Sus scrofa: one gene and its partners. The protein of the gene in region 1 interacts with the protein of each later gene in a pairwise test. Links are inferred from orthologs where the notes say so. Each region holds a gene or a part of one and is shown on either strand. Other genes may lie near its edges. The genes, in order: MPPED2, RXRG and CAGE1.

Evidence for each region.
Region 2: the proteins of MPPED2 (region 1) and RXRG interact in binary tests that used the Homo sapiens proteins (3 or more experiments, as listed by UniProt). The two-hybrid records come from large-scale screens. The link is inferred for Sus scrofa from reciprocal best matches to the Homo sapiens genes MPPED2 and RXRG.
Region 3: the proteins of MPPED2 (region 1) and CAGE1 interact in binary tests that used the Homo sapiens proteins (3 or more experiments, as listed by UniProt). The two-hybrid records come from large-scale screens. The link is inferred for Sus scrofa from reciprocal best matches to the Homo sapiens genes MPPED2 and CAGE1.

What each region holds. Positions count from the first base shown.
Region 1 is NC_010444.4:30,214,824-30,218,473, reverse strand, and holds part of MPPED2 (metallophosphoesterase MPPED2), read right to left. Parts: intron 1,587-3,650; coding exon 1,473-1,586; intron 1-1,472. UniProt on the Homo sapiens protein: Displays low metallophosphoesterase activity (in vitro). May play a role in the development of the nervous system.
Region 2 is NC_010446.5:85,343,307-85,346,956, forward strand, and holds part of RXRG (retinoic acid receptor RXR-gamma), read left to right. Parts: intron 1-1,992; coding exon 1,993-2,153; intron 2,154-2,273; coding exon 2,274-2,403; intron 2,404-3,650. UniProt on the Homo sapiens protein: Receptor for retinoic acid. Retinoic acid receptors bind as heterodimers to their target response elements in response to their ligands, all-trans or 9-cis retinoic acid, and regulate gene expression in various biological processes.
Region 3 is NC_010449.5:4,691,549-4,695,198, reverse strand, and holds the end of CAGE1 (cancer-associated gene 1 protein), read left to right. Parts: intron 1-199; exon of another isoform or gene 200-340; coding exon 341-460; 3' UTR 461-481; exon of another isoform or gene 482-763; intron 764-2,219; 3' UTR 2,220-3,101; downstream 3,102-3,650.

The DNA of each region.
Region 1 (3,650 bases):
CAAGCCTGTGGAGAGCTTAATGAGGGTCAATGGAAAAATCTCTTAAGAAAAGAAAGGAGGCATTTCAAACGTGCACTGTTTAGTTCTGGGGTCATAAAGTCTTGTTATCTCTCTCCATCAAGAGGCTGGTATTTGCCCTCTCTCTGCCCTCTTCAGCTGTCCTAAGCGAATAAAAGCGAGACAAGTTTATTTGAATATGATCTCTTCCTTTTTAAGCAAGTTTATTATTTTGGGACTTTAGTGGAATTCCCCAATTGTCTGGCTAGTTTAAAGCTAATTAATGATTGAAAAAAAAAAAAAGCAAACTCATAGGCACGAGGCAGGAATTCAAACCCGATAACTGGTCCCCAGAAATGCTGTTGGGACATGATCTCCCATCCTCCCCCACCCGCAGCCTGTACCATGCCTTAGACAAGTGCCCACCTTTTCAGGATGATATCCGCTCTCTGGGAGCTGCCCGCCTAGCTTTCCATCCACTCAGCTCGTGCCTGCACTTGGAGTAAGCTGAATTTTCTCTGGTCTCAATAGGATGATTTTCAATATGCTGTTTATTGCTTGCCTAACCAGGAAGCCACTGGACTGTGGGCTTTGAAAAGCAAAATCTGGCGCCTGCCCACATACACACACCCACTGCACACAAACATTTCTAACCATGAGAGACTGGTATGGCCAGAAGACATAAGGCCTGCTGAAAGAAGGCCTGGCTTAAAAAAGTCAGGACAGACAAAACCTAGACTCCTGAAGCTTCCCATGAGGTTTTCTGGTTCTGTGAACTTGACTCAGCTTACCTAGAAAGGCAGAAAATGGCAACTGGACCAGTTCCCAAGTAGGGGAGATTTAATTAGGCTGTTTAACCTCAGCCCGGGTTAATAGCGCTGATTTCTGAGAAGTCTGAAATGGTTTTCTGAGATTAGCAATGTCTACCTGCAAAGCGTAGCTTCCGTCACTTCCGTTTTTTGTCTTTTTCCTTGCACATCCAAAGTTATTTTTTGGAGAAAGTCTTGTCTTCCTGGGTCTTTGCACACATGCCGTAGGAAACTCAGTATTTATAGGGAGGACGAGGCCATGGATGATATTTAGTCTAAAATCCATTTCTTCTAACACTCTCAAGGAGAAAATCTGACCTTTTTTTCCCCCCAGGGGTGCTTTCGAGCAGTGGTTATCAAACATTCTTCATGTTTCTATGAAGATTCCAGAATCTGTCCAGGGTTAGCGCTGTGTTTGCCAAAAGGTGGGCCAGACCTGGTTTCCTAACTCTCCATGCTGCTTAAAAGAGAGCAGCTCCACACAAAATATTTATCAGCAGCTTTATAAGTGGGTGTTTCTCCTAATGCTTGACCTTAGGAAAGGGTTGCACTGGTAAAAAGAGTTTGGGAACCACTGCTAGTACTCCCATGTAGCTAAAGTCTCTACTGCGGAATGCATCACGGACAATGACACAGCATGCTGTGAAGCCTTTCTCTCAGCCTTACCTTCATGGATTCCACCAAACACATGGAGTTTGGGCCGGACTCGCCGCTGGACTGTGTTTAAAAGCTCCACGCAGCCCACTCTCTGAAGTTCCTTTGGAACCCAGTCTCGAAAACCTAAGGGCAAAATGTAATCAATACTCTTAATTTTCTGCCTTCAGGTAAGGTTTCATTTAGACTTTCAGGAAGCTATAACTCACAGAAGGTTTATTACATTATCTGTAATCCTACCCTCTCCATTAAAGCTCACAATGGCTTTTAAGGAATTTTCACTTTGTCTTCTTTAAGTTCTTGAATTTTTTTTTTTTGTTTCCATCTTTTTTCTTCCTGTTAATTAACTTTTTTTTTTTTTTCCTGTAAGGTATTTGATTTATTCTGCCAAGGGCTTCAAATCTTCTTCATTGGCCCAATGACATTTATTCCCGGCAGTCCCATACTCTCTCTTTTTCTCTTAATTCAGTTATTTTCTCTCTTAAAAAAACCTGTATCTCTTATAGCAGTCTACTTCCAAGATGGCTCAAAGAAGAAGGGCTAGGAGGGGCTGCCTATAAACTGGCCACATGATACCCTGCTCTCTATAGACACATCAACTCTTAACCCTTGGTGGTTCCTGATGACCAAAGCTTAGGAATACCAAGTTCCTCCTTGAGTGCCCTCTCTGGCAATAGGGCAACCATGGTGACCTGGCAGTGGCATGCAGCAAACTGGGGCTAATTGACTACCTTTACATAAAAGCCACTTAGTTCTATGCTTGATGCGGAAAAATCCATAAAAACGGACATCAATTATAGCAGAAGTCAGCCATCTGAGTGATTATGGCCCGGAATGGAATCCAATCACCTCAGCAGGATAGGGTATAAAGAAGGCAGGTTGGACAAAAGGCTAAATCATCATCAGTGGGGATCCATTCCACAGCTCCATTAGGTGATTTCTACTATTCAGAAATGGTCAGGCAGAAAAGGAACAGGCTAGCTTATTCCACTTTGGCGGAACTGTAGAAACGAAGATGCAGCATCTCTGTAAAGACATGCTGGCTGGGGTGTGGGGAATGGACAGAGAGTTTGGGAAAAACATTGGATAAAAGTAGGGGCCCTATAAAAATCCAACCAGGGCTTTCGGGAGTTCCCTGATGGCTAGGTGGGTTAAGAATCTGGCCTTGTCACTGCTTTGGCTCAGGTTCAGTCTCTGGCCTGGGATCTTTCACATACCACAGGCGCAGTCAAAAAAAAAAAAAAAAAAAAAAAAATCCAACCAGGGGTTTCAAAACTTTGTTAATTAGAGGAAAAAAATTTGTAACCCACAGTGATTGTCTTAGTCCCTCATGGATATGTTTCTCATGAAGAGGGAAAATATCTCATTTCATATGCAATCACCTGAGAAAATGTCTTATTTGTACCGTAATAGTTAACATCCCATGTGCCAGGGCTCCCTTGCCAGCAGGAGAGGATTTGAGGGCAATTCTTACACCCAGCCAGCCCCCACCTCCTAGTCCAGAATGTCCACAAGATTCCCTGTTGGTTAAGGTTCAATGTTACCTTATGAAAACGTTGCCTGACCTTTCATTTTGGAACTTCTCGCTATGGATCTCTCTTTGCTATACGCACAGTCCCTCTGTGGATTGATTACTCCACCTTTACTTCAAAGAGAGGGAAGGCAACCTCCCTATTAAGTTTCTGGGATGTCTGAATTCTCTGGACGCTAGAAGTCAGACTTACTGTTACTGCCACTCACTTTCTGTACCAAAATTAATGGCCTGATGGCATCTATGAATCAACTAATCGTTCTGTTTAAAATTATATTCCAAATAATACCTTAAGTCTGTAAACATCTCTATGCTGAGGCTGCCCAAGTCCCTCACGGTAAACAGCCCATGGAGGATCGTGTGCCTGCACCAACAAGGAAGCTCAGGTAAAGAGTCAAGTTGGCCGGGATGAGGTCTCTCTAGGTTCTCTCTGTGTAACTCATGCAGCTCATGCTGATCGGAATAATCAGCCAGCTATTTGATACTTTAGTTAGCCTCTAAGGACTGCGGAATAGGGAAATTAATTCATTTTGACTTTTTTTGTTAGTTGGTTTTGCTTTTTTAGGGCCACACCTGCAGCATATGGAGATTCCCAGGTTAGGGGTTGAATTGGAGCTTCAGCTGCAGGCCTACACCACAGCCACAGCAACACAGCCACA
Region 2 (3,650 bases), on another chromosome or scaffold:
AGCAGTAGCTCAAAACGTCTGCCCTTTGGAAGATTTTCCCCAGCAACGACACCTCATTTATGACAATAAGATTTATGGCACAAAAAGAAGAAGTGACTAGCAAAGGATCACTCAATTAATGGCAAAATTGGAATTAGACTCTAATTCCCCAAGGCCAAGGTTATTTTCTTTGAAGCTTGAAGGTGATTTTCCTTGAGTGTTACAAATCTGTAGAAGAAATCAATTGAAGACCACAAAAGGAATTTAACTTAGTTTGCTTTTCCCCATCTCTTCAAATCAAGACAAATAGAAGCCCATTAACCTACCTTTAAAAAAACTAATATGAGAAGCATTCAACTTTAACTGGCAAATTCAACCGATAATAAAAACACATGTGAGAGTTTCTGTATGCTGTCAGTGAATGAAGACTAATGGACTGGACGGAAAGAAAGAATGAGGGAGGATGAGAAATAAGGAGAGCGAGGGAGAGGTCAAAAGAGGGGCTGGAGAGAGGACCAGAGCAGAGAAGAGGAGAAAAAGAGACCAAGGGGAGGGAAAATGCTAACTTTTTTCGAACTTTTAAATAATGACTTATGTAAACTTCACAAACCAATCTCAGTATGATAATCACCACTTTACATACAGGGAAAAAGGCTTCATAGGCTGAGTACTATGTCTGATGCGGGCCCACTTGGAGTAAGTTTTCTTTGACTCCAAGGTACATGTTTGTTCTATTTTCTCCTCTCTGTTCCCTTTCTCTTCTGATTCTTCTTTTTCTTATTCCCCTGCTCTAATCTTTCTCCCCTTTCTTTCTCCACTCCTTCCTTCCTCCCCTCCCTCCCTCCCAACCCCTAAATATCATTCTCATCAGGAGACTTCCTTGACTAGAGGCTGTGGCACGTCAGCCGTGTTTGTGCTGTCAGACCCTTCCCTGACCTACTTTGAGAGATCAATAATATCACTCGCGTGACAAACTAGATGTCCAGCATCCGGTCCCAGTTCATTCTGCAGCCTCTGTGGCTCCTTATGTCCTCAGAGAGTGGGAGGTGCCTGGGAGAGCAGACGATGGGGTGGAAGGGAGAGCAGAGGAGAGGTCAAAGTTGCTGATGGAGTGGCTGTCACTGAGGTCCAGGTTAGCCACCCACTTAGAGTGTAATTTTCTTGCTTCTTGGGATTAGAAAAATGGGTACTTGTATTGCATTCTGCTTCTTGACACTGGGAATAAGAAGATGGAAACTGGAACTTTCAGGAGGATGGAAACTAACCCAAGAGACTGCTCTCCCAGTGGAGAGGACAGAACTGGGGGAATGGGGTCTGCCTGACATCCTAATGCACAGACCCAGAGGGTTCTTTGATGAAAACCCTAAGTTTTGAGAGGCTGAGGTAATTCCAGCCTACACCTTTGCCTGTATACCCTTCCCCACCCCCCAAGTCAGCTGCTGATTCTAAAATGTCATCCAGGTGACATTCCTCCACCCTTCTGCTTACTAAATACCCACACGGCTCCCTGAAGATCTTCCCTGACAAGTCAGATCAGGTGATGTTGTGTTCAGGCCGGTGCACTAGGGGCAGACCTAATGGGACGTGAATGCCAAGCTTGATGCATAGGATCTGACAGAGGGAGTTTTTAGAGTAATGTGCTTGCTGCTTAACTATTGCATGCTCACAGTTGAATAGAGGTAGCAGGTGGAGGAAGGATATGGGAGGAGGTAGTCAGTCGTTCATGAAAAGAAAGGGCAGAATCGGAGGTTATTAAAGCTTAAAATGCACACTTCTTCCAGTGGTCACCATAATGAACCGTGAAGAATATGGATAAAAACCCCATAGTCTGGCGCAGGCATAAGCAAATAGTCTGCTTTCTTGGTTTCATCTGTTACCATTACAACAGTCTGATTCATATATCATGATGATGTCCATTTTACAGATGGGGAAATAGAGGCTGAGGGAGGTAACTAACTTTCTCACTGTGGTCCTGGGCATATGGTAACGTCTGTACCTCCTTGCCCCTGCCAGCTGTGCAAGAAGAAAGGCAGAGAAGCCGGGAGAGGGCTGAGAGTGAGGCCGAATGTGCCAGTAGTGGCCATGAAGATATGCCTGTGGAGAGGATTCTGGAAGCTGAACTTGCTGTTGAACCAAAGACGGAATCCTATGGTGACATGAACATGGAGAATTCGGTACGCATGTGGTCTTAGATCTCCATCTGACTTCCATTTCCTGGATGGGGTTGGAAACGAGGAAGGGGTATGTTTGAATCCCAGAATCTGTCCCTCAGAGTTACTTTGTTCCTTTTTCAGACGAATGACCCTGTCACCAACATATGCCACGCTGCTGATAAGCAGCTCTTTACTCTCGTTGAATGGGCCAAGCGTATTCCCCACTTCTCTGACCTCACCTTGGAGGACCAGGTCATTCTGCTCCGGGCAGGTAAGGAATATCAGGGATCATTTCTTTTTGGGACAAGGGCTTGGGCTGCCACTTTGAACTCACCCCGGGGATCTGAAAACAAGTAACCTAATCGCGCTGTAACACATCCGAGCTGTTTACCTTGTTGAGACAGGAGAACCCTATGCAAGATTGTTCTTTTTTATATTATTCGTAGGCTCTTAAATGTGGATAGCCCTCCCCTAAGCCTTTTGTTCCCCATGAAACCTTGTTTGTTAAATGGAGGAGTAAGACTCTTTTTTCCATGCAGATTTTTCCCAGGCCTTATCATTTGCATTTAATTTTCAAAGATAGCGCAGCCATTTTTATTGAAGACAATTTGAGGCCAAGCCTCATCATTCTTATGAAATCGGAAAATAGTGATATTCCCATTTCACAGGCGAAGTAAGGGAAACCTGGGATTTTTGCTCAGGCTTGTCCTAGACAGGTGCCAGGGTCCCTTCCTATTTTAAGATTCTATGTGCTGTCATCTCTCTTGCCTCCCGTTTCTGGAACACTCTGCAGTTGACATATGCCAAATCTGCTCTTTGTCACTGAGCCAGCAGGGAAATTTCACGAAGATTGGCCGAGCCCCGGGAGCCAGGCCACTCATTTCGCTCCTATTAGATAATGAGCGAGCCCTGAGTGTCGATGGAAAGCTGCATACCGGCCAGGGTGCTACTAGACGATGCCAAAGAAACAAAACTAAGCTGTCAGATCCTGGGGGCAGAGACTGCAGGGTGTACTTGCTTTATCCACCATGACCGCTAACATAGTGACTATTACCTGTCAGGTGTTCAATCCATATTTGCTGACAGGTTGGGGAGAAAAGGAATCCTGTCCTCAAGCTCCCATTCTGGGCTGCGCTGGGGAGAATGGGGATGCATACAGCCACAAGTCGGGGGACCCAGTCTTATCCTCTGTCTCTGCACTAATTAGTGATGTTGTCTGGCGCAATGTCCTTACCTCCCTAGATGGTTTTTCTTTTTTGTTTTTTAGGGCTGAATCCACAGCATATGGAGGTTCCCAGGCTAGGGGTAGAATTGGATCTACAGCTGCTGGCCTACACTACAGCCACGGCAATGCAGGATCCAAGCCACGTCTGCGACCTACACCACCGCTCATGGTAACACCAGATCCTTAAGCCACTGAGGGAGGCCAGGGATTGGAACCCTCATCCTCATCGATGCTAGTCGGGTTCGTTAACCACTGAGCCACAAAGGGAACTCCCTCCCTACATTTCTGATTCT
Region 3 (3,650 bases), on another chromosome or scaffold:
TCTGGAATCTGCCCGCGAACAAGGAGAACCTGTGGGGGTGGAAGAGTTAACACAGGTTGTGTGCGGGCAGGGCTGGGTGCCTGAGTGCTGCTGTGCGGGGTGTGTGGTTAGACTTTGTCATCTTGCACCTGCAGGCCCTCTCACAGTGCGTGTACCTCCTTTGGCGCGTGGCTCACAGATGCAGCATCTAAGCCAGTGCTCCTTTCGATAAACATTTAGTGACTTTCAGTAAACCATGTGACAGTCTCTGTGTTAAATGCCGAGAATACAATGAGAAGTGAGGCAGAGAAGGCGCAGGACCATGTAACTGACGGGGCGGTGGTACTTGACTCTCTTCTAGGAGGGTGCATGGGTCTCAGTGTCCAGGAGCCCTGGGAGCACAGACGCAGCCGCCCCGGACTGCGTGAGCAACCTCAGGGCGGGTTTCGCAGGAGTGAGGACACCGGAACCAGATCTTTAACGCTGACTCCATGTTCCCCAGGTGGGTAGAGGAGGGAGGCTCTTCTCAGGGCACCAAGGCCTCAGGGGCCATGACGCTCTCTGAAGCACAGGTAGAACCTCACGCCTGCGTTCCTCAGGTGGCGGGAGAGGGAGATGACGGAGAACGGCGCGATGTGGCGTCCCCGCTGTGACGCGGTGGCTTGAGGATCTGGCTTGTCTCTGTGGCCGGGCCAGTTCGATTCCTGATGGGGGCAGTGGGTTAAGGATCCGGCATTGCTCCTGCTCTGGCTCACATCAGTCCCCGGTCTGGAACTTCCGTATGCTGTGGGAAGGGGAAAGAGAAAAAGAAAAAAAAAAAAATAGCATCATGCACCACGCTGAGAAATGTGAAGTGTATCCCAATGAGAAGCTCTGAAAGAGGAGTGATGTGCTCAGTTATGCCTTTATTTTTTTGTCTTTTTTTTTTTTAGGGCCACACCCACGGCACATGGAGGTTCCCAGGCTAGGGGTCCAATCGGAGCTACAGCTGCCAGCCTACACCACAGCCACAGCAACACCACGTCCAAGCCACGTCTGTGACCTACCCCACAGCTCATGGCAACGCCGGATCCTTAACCCACTGAGCGAGGCCAGGGATGGAACAGACATCCTCATGAATCCTAGTCAGGTTCGTTCCTGGAGCCACGACAGGAACTCCGCAGTTATCCCTTTTAAGGGTCGCCTACTGGTGACATAAAGGGTAGGCTGACGCTGCGTGATGGTAGAATCAAAGGTACCCAGGCAAGATACTGAGACAGTGCTCCACGCGAGAAAACCAAGGCCAGAAGCTAAAATAGTGACGGAAGAGGTAGAGAGGAGGTGAGGATGCAAAGTGACGTCAAAGACAAAGTGAAAAGGATCTGGTGCTTGTCAGCGACGGGAGTGAAGCGGAGCAGCCGGGGGCTGCCGGGGTCTGGGGGGGGGCGGTCGCCTTCGCGGAGGGGGGGACCTCAGGAGGGACAGCTGGTTTGGGGGAAGGGGAGGATGGGGGCAAGGCTGCTGTGAAACACCTGGGGGTCTGTTTAGAAAGCAATTAACTAGATGCTGAGAAGGATCCAGGGGTCAGAGGTCATTGATGAACCCAGGTCTCAGAGGCGGAGCGAGGGCCTGGGTGCCCCAGCGCAGCACAGGCTGGTCACCCCTCCTTCTGAGCCTGGCAGAGGGCAGCGCAGGCAGGTCCCAGGCAGCTGTGCGCGGTAAGGAACTCGTGGCGGAAGGCTTGGCTCTGGCAGAAGGAGGCTGGCAGAGAGGCGAGGGTTTGAAACGGCCGCAGCCCTGCCCTCCCGGAGCAAGGCGTGGGCCCTCACCGCGGGCATCACCAGGAGGCGCGGTGTCTGCTGCACCCCACCGTTTCTGTGTGTACCCACTTTCTTCGCTGCCCCTTCGTCCCTTGCTTCCTTGATTCTGACCCATCGCGTCCTCTTGAGGACCTGCTCCGTCATTTTCACTCTCACACGTTTAATTGACAACTTGGCATTGCACTCTTACCCTCCCCTTTCAAAATCCTCCTGCAACCCTCTTCTAAACCCTCTTCCACATCCTGTCTTAGTCACATAGGCCGTTTCGACTCGCAGGTTTTCTGATAAAAATGTTTCCGTACTGCTGATCTCAACGTGGCACTCTCATTTTCAAAGGCTGTGTGATATTATATAATGAAATAACTTAATGAATCATGGTTTAGGGACAAGAGTTCCAGTTCTTACTTTCTTGTTTTGTTCTGTTTTTGGCTGTGTCCGCAGCATGCAGGAATCCCTGGCCCAGAGATCAAACCTGTTCCACAGCAGTGACCACGCCGGATCCTTCAACTGCCAGGCCACTGGGGAACGCCTCCGTTTCTTACATTGTAGTCCAGAAATCACTGCCTTATGTGCTCTGGCCCCAAATTTCATGTGTGTGCCTTTGCCCAGACTGTTTTCTTGTCCTCAGATGCCTTTTCCTGCCCTAACAAACGAAAATCTCTCCTCCGCTTCCACCACCAGTTCCTTGTATTTAAAACGTGCATTTTTCAAGGCCTAATGGAAATGTCCCCCTCCTCCTTCTCAGAGGGTCGTACCTGTCTCCTCCGCTTTATCTACGACTTTCTCAGGGTTCTTAGCCCAGTCTTCCCTGAACTACAGCTCGTGGGAGACAGCAAGCACAGTACAAAGAGCACTCGACATGGGATCATAAGATTTAGGTTCACGACGACTCCTTACCAGCTGTTGTGAGACCTCAGTTCACTGTCCCAGCATTTGAAGAAGATTATAGACCTGTGCTAATATCCCTGTCAAACATAATTTTTTTAACATTATGTCTGCCATCAAAAGATTGTAACATTTGCCAATATGAACATAACCCTCAGGACAAGTACGTGAAAAACTCATTGTGAAACCGGATAAGGCTCTTCCCGTATTTCGTAAGCCCAAGCTTACAAAAGAACAAGTAGAATACCGTCTTAAGAAATTCTAGTGAACACTATGTGGTGAAAATTCAACAATTTGGGGCACAGTTGGAGATTCTTAGGGGGGCCAAAGTCAAAGAAGTTGTTACAAAAAGAGAATTTTGGAGTTCCCCTCGTGGCGCAGCAGAAACGAATCCGACTAGGAACCATGAGGGTGCAGGTTCGATCCCTGGCTTCGCTTGGTGGGTTAAGGATCCAGCGTTGCTGTGGTTGTGGCGTAGGCCGGCGGCTACAGCTCCGATTCATCCCCTAGCCTGGGAACCTCCATATGCGGTGGGTGTGGCCCTAAAAAAAAAGGAAGAAGAAAAAAGAATTTTCAGGGTTTCATAGCACAACTGGCCACAGACACGTTCCACTTCAGTCTGGACCAGAGGGTTGGAACAGCCCTCATTGAAGCCCGCTGGCGCCGGCAGAACACCGCGTAGGAAGACCCCCCCCCTTTTCCCGCCCGTGTGTTCCCTTCACAATCACACCGCCTCTGACACAGACGTGTGCCAGGTCTCCCCACAGGCTGTTCTCTGCACCCTCCGCCGAGTGTCCCCAGCTTAACACCGTTTGGACACTATCTACCTGGAGGGAGCCTCAGATCCCACAGGACGCGCTCAGCCCCGTTCCCTTGCCAGTGGCGAGTCCGGGTTGTCGCCAGCGTTGAACACACCAGCTGTAGATCAGAGGTTCCCATGACCGCTTGCTCTGGTTGCACTGATTTGCTAGAGTGGCTCCCAGAACT